Linked DNA regions of Ovis aries. The protein of the gene in region 1 interacts with the protein of each later gene in a pairwise test. Links are inferred from orthologs where the notes say so. Each region holds a gene or a part of one and is shown in the gene's direction. Other genes may lie near its edges.

Region 1 (3,617 bases):
ACCCCTGCACACCCCCAGTCTGGTTCCCGCGTCACAGGCAGCCACTGCTGTCCTCCTGCCCACATTCCCTGAGCCCAAGACCTCGTCCGAGCACTCCTGGGAACCAGGCAAACACAGCTTATGAACAGAAGGGCTGTTGGCAGGGGCCTCGGGGCACGAAGTGCAAATGAACTTGTACAGGCGTTCATCCCTCCTCTCACTGATCTGCCTCCCACGGCAACACTGCAGGTATTTTCAGAATACTTCAAGGAGCTGGAGGAGGAGAGCATTCGAGACAACTTCGTCATCATCTACGAGCTGCTGGACGAGCTCATGGACTTCGGCTACCCCCAGACCACAGACAGCAAGATCCTGCAGGAGTGAGTGGGTGGCGTGGGGCCCGGGGACAGGGCTGAGCGGGGGTCAGGCCAGGCGATGTCACTGTGTTGAAGTCATGCGCAGGTCTGGAGGTGCAGGGGGCAGATGTGCATTCCCGTTGCTGGTCCCCTGCCTGTCTCCAGCCCACCAGAAGCTTTCTAAGTTCCTGGGGCAGCTCTGGCTCCTTTCCCACTCAGCATCACTGCCTGGCGTGAGCGTGCCTGCTGTTGCTGGGCCTTCATTTCCATCCACAGAAGTGCGCTCAGTGCCTTGTTTCTGGGGACTCACCTGCTGCTGTTCTGCTTTTGTTTTTCAACACGTTTGTTCAGGTCTGACTGCCTTGGGTTCCAGTTAGCACACGCAAGGTCTTCTTGCAGCATGCAGGCTCCACTCTAGTTGTGGCATGCGGGCTCCAGAGCCAGTGGGCCCTGTAGTTTGCGGCCCGAGGGCTCTCTAGTAAAGGGGCATGGGCTTAGTTGCCCCATAACCTGTGGAATCTTAGTTCCCCGGCCAGGGATCGAACCTGCGTCCCCTCCATTGGAAGGCAGATTCTCAACCACCAGACCACCCGGGAAGTCCCACTGCCTTTGTTTTTACTGTCATAAATGAGATTGTGATGAAAAGTCTCCCTCCTTTGGAATCCTGGGCACCAAATAATGGTCACCGTTGATTAAGCACGTCTGGGGAAGCAGGCCTCTTGTGAGCACTTTTTTCCATTTCAGTTAGTCAGAGCTGCTGTCTTCCCATCTTACAGGGGAAGGGACTCTCTGAGAGGCCGTGTGACTTAAGCACACCCCATATCTGTTGTTCCACAAGTGGAAGCAAACGGGCTTCCCAGGTGTCTCAGTGGTAAAGAATCCACCTGTCAATGCAGGAGATATGGGTCTGATCCCTGGGTTGGGAAGATCCCCTGGAAGAGGGCATGGCAACCCTCTCCAGTGTTCTGGCCTGGGAAGTCCCATGGGCAGAGGAGCCCAGTGGGCTGCAGTCCACAGGGTCAGGTGGCACGTGACTTCTGACTAAACAGCGAGTGGAATCAGGGTCACCAGGTTACTCTCCCAGGGAGGTCGGTGGTCTCTGCATGCCCAGCGGGGAAGCATTTCATGCCCAGCGGGGAAGCATTTCATGCCCACTACTTGTTTTCCTCACCAGCGCTGTCTCCTTGCTGCCCTGCGACTGAGATCTCTGTCCTCATAGTAACTGAAGAGTTTGTTGGGGTTTTGGAAATCGTGATCTTGTTGTGTTAAATGGCCCCAGGTGAAACCAGAGCCTGCCTCTCCTGGCGCCTGCTACAGGGAGGGGCTGTTTTCAATATGGCAGTGCCTGAGCCAGCTAACTCTGAGCCCGGGCCCACAGGTACATCACCCAGGAAGGCCACAAGCTGGAAACGGGGGCCCCACGGCCCCCAGCCACTGTCACCAACGCAGTGTCCTGGCGCTCGGAGGGCATCAAGTACCGGAAGAACGAGGTGTTCTTGGATGTCATTGAGTCCGTCAATCTCCTGGTAGGCTTCCTTTGTTTTTTAAAAAATGTTGTCTTCTTCGTGATTGGAAATAAAAGCAACTTGACTTTTAAAATTAGCAAGGCCCTGAGAAACAGTTTCTGTGTGATAGCAGATCGGCGGGATTCGGTCAGGGCTGCTCACTGCAACCCGAGCTTGTTTCACCTGCGTTCGTTTCTGTCCTTATTTAGAATGAATGCATGCATATCATTAAAAAAGAAATGTATAGGGTTAGACAGCCAAGGGCTCCAGGACTTCCTGGTGGGCCAGCGGCTGACCCGATGCTACCACTTCAGGAGGCCTGGGTTCGACCTTGGTTGGGGAACTAGGATCCTGCATGCCTCCAGGCAAAAGTGAAGCAATAATTAGAAAGCGAGCAAGCGCAGGGCTCCGCAATCAGAAAGGCCACAGCACAGAAGGATTCGTTGTCATCTTTCGGCCGCTCCTGCTGTAGGTTTACAGACATGTTGCTTGTGGAAAACTGAGAACGTAAGGTGTAGTTCTACAGCTGGCTTTTGGAGTTGCTTGGGGTTTGGTTCTTATTGTTTTCTTTCATTTTGTTTATTAAGTTATTGTTAGTTGGTAACTGACCACATCTTCTGTGAATTTAGCACGTGTACAGACTTGTACCCATTATCATAACCGGGCATCAGAACAGCTCCATCACCTCAAACACCTCGCCCATGCTGCCTCTCGGCAGCCACGCCCTCCGCCTGTTCCCGCCCCTGGCAGCTGCTCCTGCGGCCTCCGTCACAGCTTGGTCTTCCTGAGATTGTCAGATGAGTGGAGTCGAACAGAGTGTGTCAGTTTGAATCTGACTTCTTTCAATATATGGCCTTGAGATTCATCCAAATTGCTCTGTTTATCCAAAGTTTATGTCTTCTTTGGTTCATTTATTTTATACTCTGAATCACAGTTGGTTTATCCATTCACCCATCAGAGGACATCTGGGTTGTTTCCAGTGTTTGGCAATTGTGAAGAGTTGCTATGAGCATTTCTGTATAGATTTATGTGTAGACAGAAGTTTCCATCTCTCTAGGGCAAATACCCAGGAGTGGGATTGCTGGGTCATATGGTAAGTGTATGTTTGACTTTATAGGAAACTGTCCATCTACTCTCCAGTAACATTTTTGCATTTTCACCAGCAGTGGGTGAGAATTCCAGTTGCTCCACAGCCTTGCTCAACGGTTTTATTTTTGCCATTCTGCTAGGCATCTCATCATGGCTTTAATGCACATTTCCCTAATGGCTAATGATGTTGAGCATCTTTCTGTATGCCTCTTTCTCATCCATATATCTTTGGAGGTGTGTCTCTTCATGTCTCTGATCATTTTTAAGTTGAGTTTGTTTTCTGATTGTTGAGTTTTGACAGTTCTTTGTGTTGGATAAAGTCTTTTTTTTTTTTTGTCTTTATCCAATGTGATGTGTGATCTGCAAATATTTCTCCTGAGTCTGTCATTTTTCATTCTGTTGGCGTTGTCTTTCACAGAGCAGAGGTTTTTGAGAAGGTCCACATATCCAGTATTTTGGGGCTTCCCTGGCAGTCCAGTTGGTTACCACTTCACCTTCCAATGAAGGGGGTACAGCTTTGATCCCGATTGAGGATCCAAGATCTCACATACTTTTCAGCCAGAAACCAGAACAAAACGGAAACAGTGTTATAACAAATTCAATAAAGGATTTAAAAGTGGTCCACAGAAAAAAATATTCAGGAAAAAAACCAAAATATCAAAATTTTAAACTGATTATGCTCTTGGTG
Region 2 (4,170 bases), on another chromosome or scaffold:
AGCACTTTCACAGCATCATCTTTCAGGATTTGAAATAGCTCCACTGGAACTCCATCACCTCCACTAGCTTTGTTCCTAGTGATGCTTTCTAAGGCCCACTTGACTTCACATTCCAGGATGTCTGGCTCTAGGTGAATGATCACACCATCGTGATTATCTTGGTTGTGAAGATCTTTTTTGTATAGTTCTCCTGTGTATTCTTGCCACCTCTTCTTAATATCTTCTGCTTCTGTTAGGTCCATACCATTTTTACCCTTTATCGAGCCCATCTTTGGATGAAATGTTCCCTTGGTGTCTCTAATTTTCTTGAAGAGATCTCTAGTCTTTCCCATTCTGTTGTTTTCCTCTATTTCTTTGCATTGATCGTTGAAGAAGGCTTTCTTGTCTCTTCTTGCTATTCTTTGAAATTCTGCATTCAGATGCTTGTATCTTTCCTTTTTTCCTTTGCTTTTCGCTTCTCTTCTTTTCACAGCTATTTGTAAGGCCTCCCCAGACAGCCATTTTGCTTTTTTGCATTTCTTTTCCATGGGTATCGTCTTGATCCCTGTCTCCTGTACAATGTCACGAACCTCAGTCCATAGTTCATCAGGCACTCTATCTATCAGATCTAGGCCCTTAAATCTATTTCTCACTTCCACTGTATAATCATAAGGGATTTGATTTAGGTCATACCTGAATGGTGTAGCGGATTTCCCTAGTTTCTTCAATTTAAGTCTGAATTTGGCAATAAGGAGTTCATGATCTGAGCCACAGTCAGCTCCTGGTCCTGTTTTTGTTGACTGTATAGAGCTTCTCCATCTTTGGCTGCAAAGAATATAATCAATCTGATTTTGGTGTTGACCATCTGGTGATGTCCATGTGTAGAATCTTCTCTTGTGTTGTTGGAAAAAGGTGTTTGCTATGACCAGTGCATTTTCTTGGCAAAACTCTTGTTAGTCTTTGCCCTGCTTCATTCCGCATTCCAAGGCCAAATTTGCCTGTTACTCCAGGTGTTTCTTGACTTCCTACTTTTGCATTCCAGTCCCCTATAATGAAAAGGACATGTTTTTTGGGTGTTAGTTCTAAAAGGTCTTGTAGGTCTTCATAGAACGGTTCAACTTCAGCTTCTTCAGCGTTACTGGTTGGGGCATAGACTTGGATTATTTAGCACTCCTCTCCGCAAATGTCAGCTTTGGCCCTAGAGTACCTACAGGAGACTGACATGCTCCGGGTTGTACTGCGCAGCCGCGGGTTCTCTCGGAGCACGCTCCTGACGCCCCGCCCCGAATGCGAGTCCCGCATGCGCACATCGCTTTCTCTCAGACGCACCCCCGGAAGCACTGGCAGTTTTGCGGGGGGGACCGGTAAGCGTTTCCGGAGGCGGGAGGCGCAGGCTGAGGCGGTCGCGGCAGCTACGGCTTGAGCGGGCCCGGCGCCGGCTGCGGCGGAAAGTATCCCACCGGCGGGCTATGTGAGCGCCGAGCCCTTGGCAGGTATGGCAGAGTCAGGACCACGCGTAGCAAGGGGGCAGGAATGGAAACCGGAGAGGTTTGAGGGGTTCTCTCCAGGTTCCGGCGCGCTCACCGCTGACACCGTCAGGCCCATTACGCCGACCGGGATGCCGAAGCCGCACGCGGGACCGTTGGAGTCCCGGCGCTCCGGGTCCCACTTCTGCGGTCTCTGGCCAGCCCGGAGCTCGTGCAGCGACACCGAGGCCCCCGAGGCAGAGTCTCGTCCAAGGTCACCCTCCGGTGACGGACCTCGGCGGGCCAGAGCGCTTAGAGATCCCGCCACCCCCTCTTCCCCCGTCAGACCGCCCCTCCGGCCTTTCAGGGGCGCGGAGTGGGCGCGGCTTGGCGACCTCTCGTTTGAGTCAAAGCCAGGAGAAAGACTGCGCTTGGGACTTCGCTGATCCTGGTCTCTTTACCTCTGCGTTTCACCTCTCTTGCTGTCTGTCACCTGTCATCGCCTGCCCTTTATGCCTATTAACTCGGCCTCTGTCAGCTTTGTGTTTCTCTCGAGCCCAACTCCGAGTATTTGGGTCCTGTCTTCATTTCTGTTTCCACCTTCTGTGTCCCTTGACCCTGTGTTTCCCTCTTAGTCTTTACTCTGGTTGACGGCCTGCCTGTCGGTCCAGCTCTTTACTCATTCTGTGTTTCTCTGCCAGTCGTGTGTCTTTCTCTCTTGTTTCTGCCTCTCCTCAGAGGTTTCTCTGGGCGGGGCGGCCTGCCCGGACCTCTCAGCCATGGCAGGTGACTCATGACCCTGTGAAGCTTCCTACACTGGTGACATGATCAGAGGCTAGACTGCAGTCTGACCTCAGCTCTGACAGGTGTCGCCGAAACGGTCAGGGTGTAGGAGCTTCTGGAGGACAGAGAGAAGGCCATCTGCAAGCTAAATTAGCTTGATGAATCCTTACTTTTTCTTACCCATGGTTTTTCAGAACTGCCGACTCTTACTTCCCTTTGCTCCATTCACGTGCCTTCCAGGGTTCTAAGGAGCCTGCTCTCTGAGTTACCACTGCCTAACCAAGCCTGTGTACAGGCTGAGGAAGGGTCTGTCAGAGATCCTCTGCCCGTTGGGGCTCGTGGGGCAGTAGCAGGATTTCTGGGAGAGCTGTGTGCTTAGTTTGAAGATCATGTCACTATGTACAGTTAAATTGTGAGAAACCTAGTCGCTTGGGGTTCATTCTTTGCTCTACAAAAGTATTCAGTGGAGAAGTAAGCTGGACCCAAAAGAGCAAATATTGAATGAGTCCGCTTAAATGAGGTATCTGGAATAGGCAAAATCATGGAGACAGAAAGTGGAGTATAGTTTTGCCAGGGGCTGAGGGTGTTGGCAAAATCTTGGCTCTCTGTGCACCAGTGCCCAACAGAAATACAGAGTCATGGAAGAGAAGGAAAGAGTGGCTTTACTGCTTTGCCAGGCAAACGGCTAGCGCCTCAAGAGCTGTGCCCCACTCCCAGGTGAATAGAGAGAGGTTATATAGTCAGACTGGGATGTGTGATTTTTCCAGTAGTCATGTATGGATGTGAGAGTTGGACTGTGAAGAAGGCTGAGCACCGAAGAATTGATGCTTTTGAGCTGTGGTGTTGGAGAAGACTCTTGAGAGTCCCTTGGACTGCAAGGAGATCCAACCAGTCCATTCTGAAGATCAACCCTGAGATTTCTTTGGAAGGAATGGTGCTAAAGCTGAAACTGCAGTACTTTGGCCACCTTATGCGAAGAGTTGACTTTGATGCTGGGAGGGATTGGGGGCAGGAGGAGAAGGGGACGACAGAGGATGAGATGGCTGGATGGCATCACTGACTCGGTGGACGTGAGTCTGAGTGAACTCCAGGAGTTGGTGATGGACAGGGAGGCCTGGCATGCTGCGATTCATGGGGTCGCAAAGAGTCGGACATGACTGAGCGACTGAACTGAACTGGGATGTGTGATACGATTAAGGCAGTAACAGTCTTGCATTATTATGCAAAGTTTCAAAAGGGCGGGGTTGCTGACAAGATTAGGGTGTGTGCAGGGTCTTAGGTGGGCTTCCCAGGGGGCACAGTGGTAAAAAATCCACCTGCCAATGCAGGAGACTCAAGAGACTTGGGTTCAGTCCCTGGGTTGGGAAGATTCCCTTGGGGTATAAATAGCAACCCTCTCGAGTATTCTTGCCTGGAAAATCCAATGGACAGAGGAGCCTAGTGGGATCTATTCTGCAGGGTCACTGAGCACAAACACACAAGCAGGGTCTTGGGTTCATTCTCCTAATCTTGATGAGCCTCTCTGGTCCCTTTAATCTTACCTCAGGTGATTTCTTGGCTGCTCCTCCCTTAATTAGCAACTGTTCTGCCCTTTGGAACTAAGAACGTTGTGGAGGCTGGAGTCTTGCCTATGAGAAATGGAGGACAAAAAGACCTCAGTGTCCTGGAGCCCCACAGGGCCCTGCTCAACATCAAGGGGGAGGAGAGGATGGAATATTATTTAATGGATACAGGGTTTTAGTTTGGGATGATGAAAAAATTCTGCAGACAGATAATGGTGATGGTTGCACAACTGCATGAATGTGCTTAATGCCACTAATTGTAAACTTTAAATGGTCACAGTGGTAAATTTTATGTTAAGTATATTTTACCACAGTACCAAAAAAGTTGTTGAATGCAGATTCCTGAAACTAACAAGCTCTTTGAAAATGTGATTTTTAAA
Region 3 (4,356 bases), on another chromosome or scaffold:
GGGGAGCGTGCCCTTGAACTCGTTTGATGCTCATGTTTCCAGCTACCTCTCTGTTATTTCTACTTGACTGTCTCACAGGCAAGAATAAATTCACTTTTAGTGCCCCAATCGTATTAAATCTGGTTTTCCACATCTTCCTCACATCACACCTCCCTCCCATAGCCAATCTATCTCCAAGGCCTGTTGGTATTTCCTCCCAAATTTATATTGAGCCCAACCACTTCCCTCTATTCTCACCATACCTATGCTAGTCCTTCTAGGACTACTGCAACAGCCTCCTAAATGTTTAACTCCTAAACACACTATTTTCTTCCCATAGCCTGTATGAACACAACAGAAATCTTAAACAGCATGATACAAAACGATATATCCAATAATTGCAATTTGGGAGAAAATGATTATAGAATAAAAGACGGTGAAAACACACTACTTAAGAAACAGGGGGCGGGAGTATATTTATATTTATCCTAATTGTATTTGTTTTAAAAAATCACTGAATAGGAACTTGTGGAGGAGGGCTAGAGAGCAAAAACATTCTATTATCTATTATTCGCTGCTCAGGCTTCCTCTTGCTGCAGAGAACAGGGGCTTCTCATTGTCACAACTTCTCTTGTTGCGCTGGCTCTAGGTCACTGGCTTCAGTAGTTGCGGCCCACCGGCTTAGTTGCCCCATGGGACCAAGGATGACTCATGTCCTCTTCATTCGCAGGTGGATTCTTAACCACTGAACCACAAGAGAAATCCCACAAGAACTTTTTGAGGTTTTTCATTTAAAGATAATTGCTTCAGTAACTTTCTAATGTGAACTTTTCGAAAAATAAATCCCATTTTTTTAACCGTTAGATTATATTACCTAATCAAATATATCGTTTGCAAGACAAAAATACACTAAAACGTTGATAGTCACTACTCTGGAAGCGTGAGGCAGAGATTCTGTTTTCTACTTGTACACATTCAGTGAATTTTCTAGCGTGAATGAGTAATTTACACGATCAGAAAACAGATGAACTTTTTAGAAAAGATCTTTGACACCGTTTCCGTCGGGGGTCAAAAGAGCGAGCAGGGTTGCGAAGGCTCCCGCTACAAAGGTGACAGGGTGGGTGTCTGTTTCCAGATTTCCACACGTCTGTGCGCTGCAGGGAAAGAACCATGAGGGAGGGAGAAGGCAGAAAGGCAGGCAGAGGATAGGAGCGAGCAAGCACCAGGCCCCAACGACTTCACTCCCGTGGTTACGTCCGTGGGCCAGGGAGCGCCTGCTTCGCCAGTATTGTCTCGTAAATATGACAGCAAAGAAGGAAAGGGGGACTAAGTTTGTAGCGGCCGCTGCGGAGCTACGAAAGCAGGAAAAGACAAATACGCCTTCTACACGCAATACAGCCCCGCCACCAGCAAAAGCAGTCACACCTCGGGGGAAACAACTGAACACCAGCTTGCCGGGCTTCTTCCAATCCCTGCCCCTTGCCTGGGTGTGGCTGCGGCGACGCACACAGGAAGGGGCGGGACATAACACTAAGCCCGCGTGCTGATCTCGCGAGAGCATTAGGGGGCGGAAGCACAGTCGGTGCAGGATGCGGTTCCTGGTTGCGTTCGTGTTACTGAGCGTCGCGGCAGCGGGTAAGAATTCCCCCCCGCCCCCACCCCACCGCAGTCCCAAGACCAGCCCCCGGTAATCCCACTGTCGCCCCGGGGCCCGTCGTCTTCACCGTGGCCTGTCAGCCCCTGACCTCACTCTTCCTTGCCCGAACCTCGCCACCGCTCCGCTCGCCAGCACTCCCCTCCCTTTTGCCCGTTGCAACGTTCTGAGGAGTTCTTTCTCCCCGACTGCCTCTCTTCAGCCAGATAGTTTCTCTGTTTCAGACTCGCAGCTCAATTCTGCTCCAGGCGCCGGAACAACCGCTCAGAAGGAAGATCAGGCTTCTGCAGGAAGCTCCAGGCAGCAGGTCTTGATCGCTCAGTCTAGGCTAGAACACAGTAACCAAACCTTTCTAAATCAGACCGACGCGAAAACCGACCCTGGCAATTCGGGAGCCACGCAGCGCCCCGCGAAAACCGACCCTGACCATTCGGGAACTGAGCAGCGCCCGACGGAAAGCGGCCCTGACAGTTCGGGAGCCGAGCACCGCCCCGCGGAAACCCACTCCGATAATTCGGGAACCGAGCAGCAGCGCCCGACGGAAAGCGGCCCTGACAATTCGGGAGCCGAGCACCGCCCCGCGGAAACCCACTCCGATAATTCAGGAGCCGAGCAGCGCCCCGAGAAAGCCGACCCTGGCAGTTCCCCCAGAGACCAGTCCAACAAGTTGGTCTCCAGCCCCTCTTCTGATAACAAGGAGTCCACCAAGGTTCATGTAAACACAGTCGCTGGCAAAGCTCTGCAGACTTCCAGAACTGAACCTGGGGGGAAAGTGTTGGCAGACCCCTCTTCTCCCCAGCGGGAGGGAGGAGGTAAGCCTTTAGAATTAACTGAAGATGTGGAGCCCAAGGAGACTGAAGAAGGGGATGCAGAGCCAGAGGAAGACGCACCACCCAAAGAAGGGAAAGAAATGGTTGGCCCTGCCTCCAGAGAGAACCGTGAAGGGACACTTTCGAATACCTGGAGTAAGAAGGATGACCTTTATAAGGATAACCTTGGAAATGCCAATGCAGAGAGCAGCCACTTTTTTGCATATCTGGTGACAGCAGCCATTCTCGTCGCTGCCCTCTATATCGCCTACCACAATAAGCGGAAGGTAAGGCAAGAATGGCCTTAAGAGGAGGAGTGGGATTTCCTCCTCTCAGAAAGCCTGATGTGTGAGTATCCATCACTCATCAGCCTGTAAGCCCTGGGAATTTAAGAAACAAACTTCCTGTTTTTTTTCCTGAGATCCTGCCAGGATTCTCTATTGGGTTTTCTAGGTTCTTTTTTTTCCTCCCTTTGTCTTAGAAATCATTTGTTTTCACATCTGTTTCCTCTGCCCTCTGCTGTTGCGTCAAGTGTGAAGCTTAGGACATTATTATGATTTGACCCAAATGAAGGTCTCCTCCCATAATCTTGGAACTTAGAATCTTTCACATCCTGAGAGAGGACCTGAGGACCTGACAGTTTGTATGTAGTTAAAGCAGTGATCTTCCTGTCTTCTAATTTCTAGCTTCCTCTCCCAAGCATTTGTCTTCCATCTGCAGGAACAGAAAGAATGGTTACAGAGTCTTCAAGACCAGCAGCAGAGCGCCCAGGGGTCTATGTTCTGCAGCTGAGTTTCTGATTAGAAGAAAGGCCAGAAATTGCATGAATACACTCATCTTTTACTTCAGCAGGGTTTGTTGTGTTGCTTAGTAACCACTCCCCAACGACAAAATAATTGCATTTCTTTTTTTGTTTTTAACTGAAATATAAAAAAACATGATGTGTAGTTGATTTACAATGTTGTGTTAGGTGTACAGCACAGTGATTCCGTTTTTTATATATATATTCATTTTCAGATTCTTCCCCAAATGATTGCATTTCTTATGAGCCCTAAGAATTTAGTAGTTTGTAATAGTCTGACTAAAATTGAAGGGTTCAATTCATGATAGTCAAAAGGCCTAGGGCTGTGAGAAATGAGAGAAGACATTTAGTAAAAGTGGTACATTCCTGGGAATTCCCTGACAGTTATGGGGTTAAGACTCCATGCTTTCACTGCAGGGGCCACAGGTTTGATCTCTGATTGAGGTTCTAAGATCCCCAATGCCACATGAATGTGGCCTTGAAAAAAAATTTTTTTAAGGTACATTCCTTATTCTACATCCAAGTGCTTATCATGGAGAGTAACCTTAAGTATGAAATGAGAGTGGTCAGGTTCAGATGAAATAAAGTGTGGGGTGAAAGAGTACATTTGCAGATTAGAAGTAATTATTGCTTAATACTAAGATAAAAGGAGGGGGACTTGCTTAGCCTGGAGGAGTCTCAGCTGGGGAGGAGTTGGCAGTTCTTTTCACTGTGTTGTTGTTCAGTCACCAAGTCCCGTCTGATTCTTTGTACCCCAAGGACTGCAGCATGTCAGGCTTCCCTATCCTTCACAATCTCTTAGAGTTTGCTCAAACTCATGTCCATTGAGTTGATGATCCCATCCAGCCATTTCATCCTCTGTCACCCCCTTCTCCTCCTGCCCTCAATCTTTCCCAGCATCAAGGTCTTTTCCAGTGAGTTGGCTTTTTGCATCAGGTGGCCAAAGTATTGGAGCTTCAGCTTCAGCGCCAGTCCTTCCTGTGAATATTCAGGGTTGATTTTCCTTAGGATTGACTGGCTCACTCTTGGAGTCCAAAGGACTCTCAAGAGTCTTCTCCAGCACCACAGTTCAAAAGCATTGATTCTTCAGCACTCAGCTGCCTTTATGGTCC
Region 4 (3,916 bases), on another chromosome or scaffold:
GCCACATGTATGCCAAGTTGGAGTCAGACACAAAAGGCCACCTATTGTGTGATTCCTTTTACATGAAATGAGCAGAACAGCCAAAGTCATAGAGACAGAAAGCAGAGCGGTGCTTGACAGGGACTGGGGAGGGTCTACCCAATACTACAAGATTTCCTTTTGGGAATGTCCCGGGACTAGATAGTGGTCATAGTTGTACAGTGTTGTGACTGTACTAAATGTCCCTGAATCGAACACTTTAAAATGGTTAATTTTATATTATTTGTTACATGTAATAAAAAAAAAAACGTACCTGTTAAGGATTTCTAACAGGGAGGCCCCTAGAGCTTCCCTGGTGATCCAGTGGTTAACAATCCACTTGCCAATGCAAAGAACATAAATTTAATCCCTGGTCTGGGACTAGCCCACGTGCCACAACTACCAAAGCCCATATGTCCTAAAGCCAGTGCTCCTCAATAAGATAAGCCATTGCCAAGAGCAGCCTGCCCACTGCAACAAAAAGTAAGCCCCGTTTGCCACAACCAGGGAAAGCCTACATGTAGCAACAAAGACCCAGCTCAGCGAAAAGTTAACTAATTTTTAAAGAAGAGTGAGGACCTCAGACTGTGCAGCACTGGGTGTTACCAGTGTTGTAAATCTTGGCTGATCTTGCAGGTGGGATATTTGTGTTTTAATTTAGAGCCTTTTAATTATCAGTGATATCCAGTAGCTTTTCAAATGTTGATTGGAAATTTGAATGGACTGTGTGCTTGTGTTTGATTCTATTGTATCATATCCTGCTTTAGTTGTAAAGGCTTTCAACTTTTACATTGCAAATATTTTCTAGCAGTTCAATATCTTCACTTTATATGCCAAAAATATTTCTTTTGGGTTCTGATTGAAGTTACATCAGGGATGGATTGATCCAGAAAGAGTGGTAATTCAGTCTATAGCTCTGAGTTTCTTGCTTACACCTCTCGGGTCCCAGTGGATATATGTTGTGTGTGTTCTTTGGTCAAGTTTTCTATTTCGCTCGCAACTTATCTTCTTAGTAATGCTCTTAGGTATAGTTTGGGCTGCGGTAAAGCTAGGCATCTTTCCCTATGTATTCTCACACTGTCAAGGCTGGCGTGAAGTGGGAGCGGCTGCAGTGGCTGGGAACTTGTCTCACGCTCAGCCCCTCCCTCCGTGAACGTGACTTAAGAACCCTGGCAGGCATTCAGCAGAAACTTGCGTCTTGCATCCTCCACAAGTTTTCTGGAGCCAAACAAAGAACAGATGGGAAAACAGACTCTTGCAACGTACTCACATGTTTAATGAGTAAAAGCTAATTGTAGAAAACACAGCAGCCCTAATGAGGGTCAGCTCCAAACAGCAACAAGGAAGGGAGAGCGTGGGAGCCTCCGACCAGGGCCACGCGCATACTCAGGGCGGGTATAAAAGCAGACACCCTCAGCACTTCACTCACACACTCACACACACTTACACCTCCTCCAGCCGTACCACCTCCACCATGGCCTTCTCTAACCTGTCTGCTTGCTCCAGCGACCTGAGCTACAGCAGCCGGATCTGCCTGCCTGGATCCTGTGACTCCTGCACCGGCTCCTCCTGGCAGGTGGATGACTGTCCAGAGAGCTGCTGCGAGCCCCCCTGCTGTGCCCCCAGCTGCTGCACCTCGGCCCCCCGCCTGACCCTCCTCTGCGCCCCAGTGAGTTGTGAGTCCAGCCCCTGCTGCCAGCCAGCCTGCAGCAGCTCCTGCCCAGCCTCATGTGGCCAGCAGTCCAGCTGCCAGTCCTCCTGCTGCACCTCCTCCCGCTGCCAGCAGGCCTGCTGTGAACCTGTCTGCTGTGAGCCTGTCTGCTGCAGGCCCGTCTGCTGCAGGCCTGTCTGCTGTACACCTGTCTGCTGCACACCTGTCTGCTGCAGGCCTGTCTGCTGTGAGGCCTCCCCCTTCTCAACCTCCTCATGTTGCCAGCAGTCCAGCTGCCAGCCCTCCTGCTGCACCTCCTCCTGCTGCCAGCAGGCCTGCTGTGAGCCCGTCTGCTGCAGGCCTGTCTGCTGTACACCTGTTTGCTGCAGGCCCGTGTGCTGTGAGACCTCCCCCTGCTCAGCCCCCTCATCCTGCTGCAGACCCTCCTCTTCCGTGTCCCTCCTCTGCCGTCCTGTGTGCCGCCCCGTGTGCGGCCCCACCTGCTGTGTGCCCGCCTCCTCTTGCAAGCCCAGCTTCTGCCGCCCGGCCTCCTCTGTGTCCCTCCTCTGCCGCCCTGCGTGCCGCCTCGCCTGCTGTGTGCCCACCTCCTCCTGCCAGCCAAGCTGCTGCCGCCCAGCCTCCTCTGTGTCCCTGCTCTGCCGGCCTGCATGCTCCCGCCTGGCCTGCGGCATCCCCACCTCAGCCCCGGAGCTCTGCTGCTGACCGGCCAATCACCCGCCCTCCACAAGCTGCTGTCTCTCTCCCAAGCTCCAGGAGCCCCTCTGCTGGCGCCAGGACCTCCCCTCTCCCAAAGTTGGACACGCAGCTGCTGCCCAGAGAGGATTCGAACTTGGCAGGCATCTCAGAAAGCCCTTGACAGGGTGGACTGTGGGGCCCCAGGAGCCTCCTCTGCAGGACAGGCTGCTTGAATCCCATATGACAAACATCAGCTGCTCTAATGAATAAAGCGTTTGTGTCAGGAAATATGGACCCATGTCTGTTTTGGCCTCCTCCCTTGGGCCCCCTCAGCCCCTCCAAATATGGCCTGTAGGTGCTCTGCTGGCAGAAGCCAGGCAGTAAAGACACATTCTCCCATCCGAGTTCAAAGCAGCTGAGAAACAACAGGATCTGAAAGCTGGTGCCATTCACACATTCTATGTCCCTTCCTACCCCAGGCTCACTCTCCCTGCAGTGGACGGCCCTTCAAGGCTGACATGGAGGCGGGTGTGGGTGCAGAAGGCTCAGATCCTGAGTGGGCCCTGGGTTCCTCCCCCTGCCCATGCAGGTTGAGGGTGACTTGGGGAGCAGCAGAAACCCTCCTGGGTCTGGATCGGAGAGTCCAGGGTAAGTGCTGTTGGAGAGACGTGCCAACACTGAGGAGGAGATTCTGGGGGCTCCAAGGGGGTGCAGTGTCAATTTAGACATCACTCATTCTACTCAAGGTTTCAAAGCCTGACCGAGGAGGGACAGAACAAAAGAGACGCCTTGTGAACAAACCCTCAGGACAGTAGGGGAGAAAGAGCCTGCAGTCTTAGTGGACATTAGCAATAGAGGAAGTGGGCACCAGTCAGCACCAGTCAACTACTTATCCCCCACCAGAAACAGACTGATGAGGCCCATAGGAGCAGGAGAACAGTGGTGGCTGGGGCAAGAGGGACCAGGAACTGAAGGCATCTCCCCAGGGGATACTATCCCCACCCCAGCTCAGTTCCATCCAGGAAAGAGGGAATGGAGCAAAACCCTAAGAGGACTGGTAAACAGGTGTCCTGCCTCAACTCGTAAATCTCTTTCCTGAGTTTACTCAAGACAAGTACCATTTTTCTCCTTTGCCTTTAGCTTCTTTTCTTTTCTCACCTATTTGTAAAGTCTCCTCAGATAACCATTTTTGCCTTTTTGCATTTCTTTTGGTTGGGGATGGTCTTAATCACTGTCAAGTGATCAAAGGCAAAGGAGAAAAGGAAAGATATACCCATTTGGATGCAGAGTTCCAAAGAATAAAAGGAGAGATAAGAAAGCCTTCCTCAGTGATCAGTGCAAAGAAAAAGAGGAAAACAATAGAATGAGAAAGACCAGAGGTCTCTTCAAGAAAATTAGAGATACTAAGGGAACATTTCATGCAAAGATGGGCTCAATAAAGGACAGAAATGGTATGGACCTAACAGAAGCAGGAGATATTAAGAAGAGGTGGCAAGAATACACAGAAGGACTATGCAAAAAAGGTCTTCACGACCCAGATAACCACGATGG

Evidence for each region. The genes of interacting proteins can lie anywhere in the genome.
Region 2: the proteins of AP1M1 (region 1) and ZBTB43 interact in binary tests that used the Homo sapiens proteins (3 or more experiments, as listed by UniProt). The two-hybrid records come from large-scale screens. The link is inferred for Ovis aries from reciprocal best matches to the Homo sapiens genes AP1M1 and ZBTB43.
Region 3: the proteins of AP1M1 (region 1) and TGOLN2 interact in a two-hybrid assay, tested with the Homo sapiens proteins (2 studies listed by BioGRID). The link is inferred for Ovis aries from reciprocal best matches to the Homo sapiens genes AP1M1 and TGOLN2.
Region 4: the proteins of AP1M1 (region 1) and keratin-associated protein 10-12-like interact in binary tests that used the Homo sapiens proteins (3 or more experiments, as listed by UniProt). The two-hybrid records come from large-scale screens. The link is inferred for Ovis aries from reciprocal best matches to the Homo sapiens genes AP1M1 and KRTAP10-7.

What each region holds. Positions count from the first base shown.
Region 1 is NC_056058.1:6,589,600-6,593,216, reverse strand, and holds part of AP1M1 (AP-1 complex subunit mu-1), read left to right. Parts: intron 1-228; coding exon 229-359; intron 360-1,713; coding exon 1,714-1,861; intron 1,862-3,617. UniProt on the Homo sapiens protein: Subunit of clathrin-associated adaptor protein complex 1 that plays a role in protein sorting in the trans-Golgi network (TGN) and endosomes.
Region 2 is NC_056056.1:9,310,355-9,314,524, reverse strand, and holds the start of ZBTB43 (zinc finger and BTB domain-containing protein 43), read left to right. Parts: upstream 1-1,352; 5' UTR 1,353-1,472; intron 1,473-4,170. UniProt on the Homo sapiens protein: May be involved in transcriptional regulation.
Region 3 is NC_056056.1:57,188,570-57,192,925, forward strand, and holds the start of TGOLN2 (trans-Golgi network integral membrane protein 2), read left to right. Parts: upstream 1-1,538; 5' UTR 1,539-1,568; coding exon 1,569-1,614; intron 1,615-1,857; coding exon 1,858-2,729; intron 2,730-4,356. UniProt on the Homo sapiens protein: May be involved in regulating membrane traffic to and from trans-Golgi network.
Region 4 is NC_056054.1:262,544,450-262,548,365, forward strand, and holds keratin-associated protein 10-12-like, read left to right. Parts: upstream 1-1,342; 5' UTR 1,343-1,492; coding exon 1,493-2,392; 3' UTR 2,393-3,398; downstream 3,399-3,916. UniProt on the Homo sapiens protein: In the hair cortex, hair keratin intermediate filaments are embedded in an interfilamentous matrix, consisting of hair keratin-associated proteins (KRTAP), which are essential for the formation of a rigid and resistant hair shaft through their extensive disulfide bond cross-linking with abundant cysteine residues of hair keratins.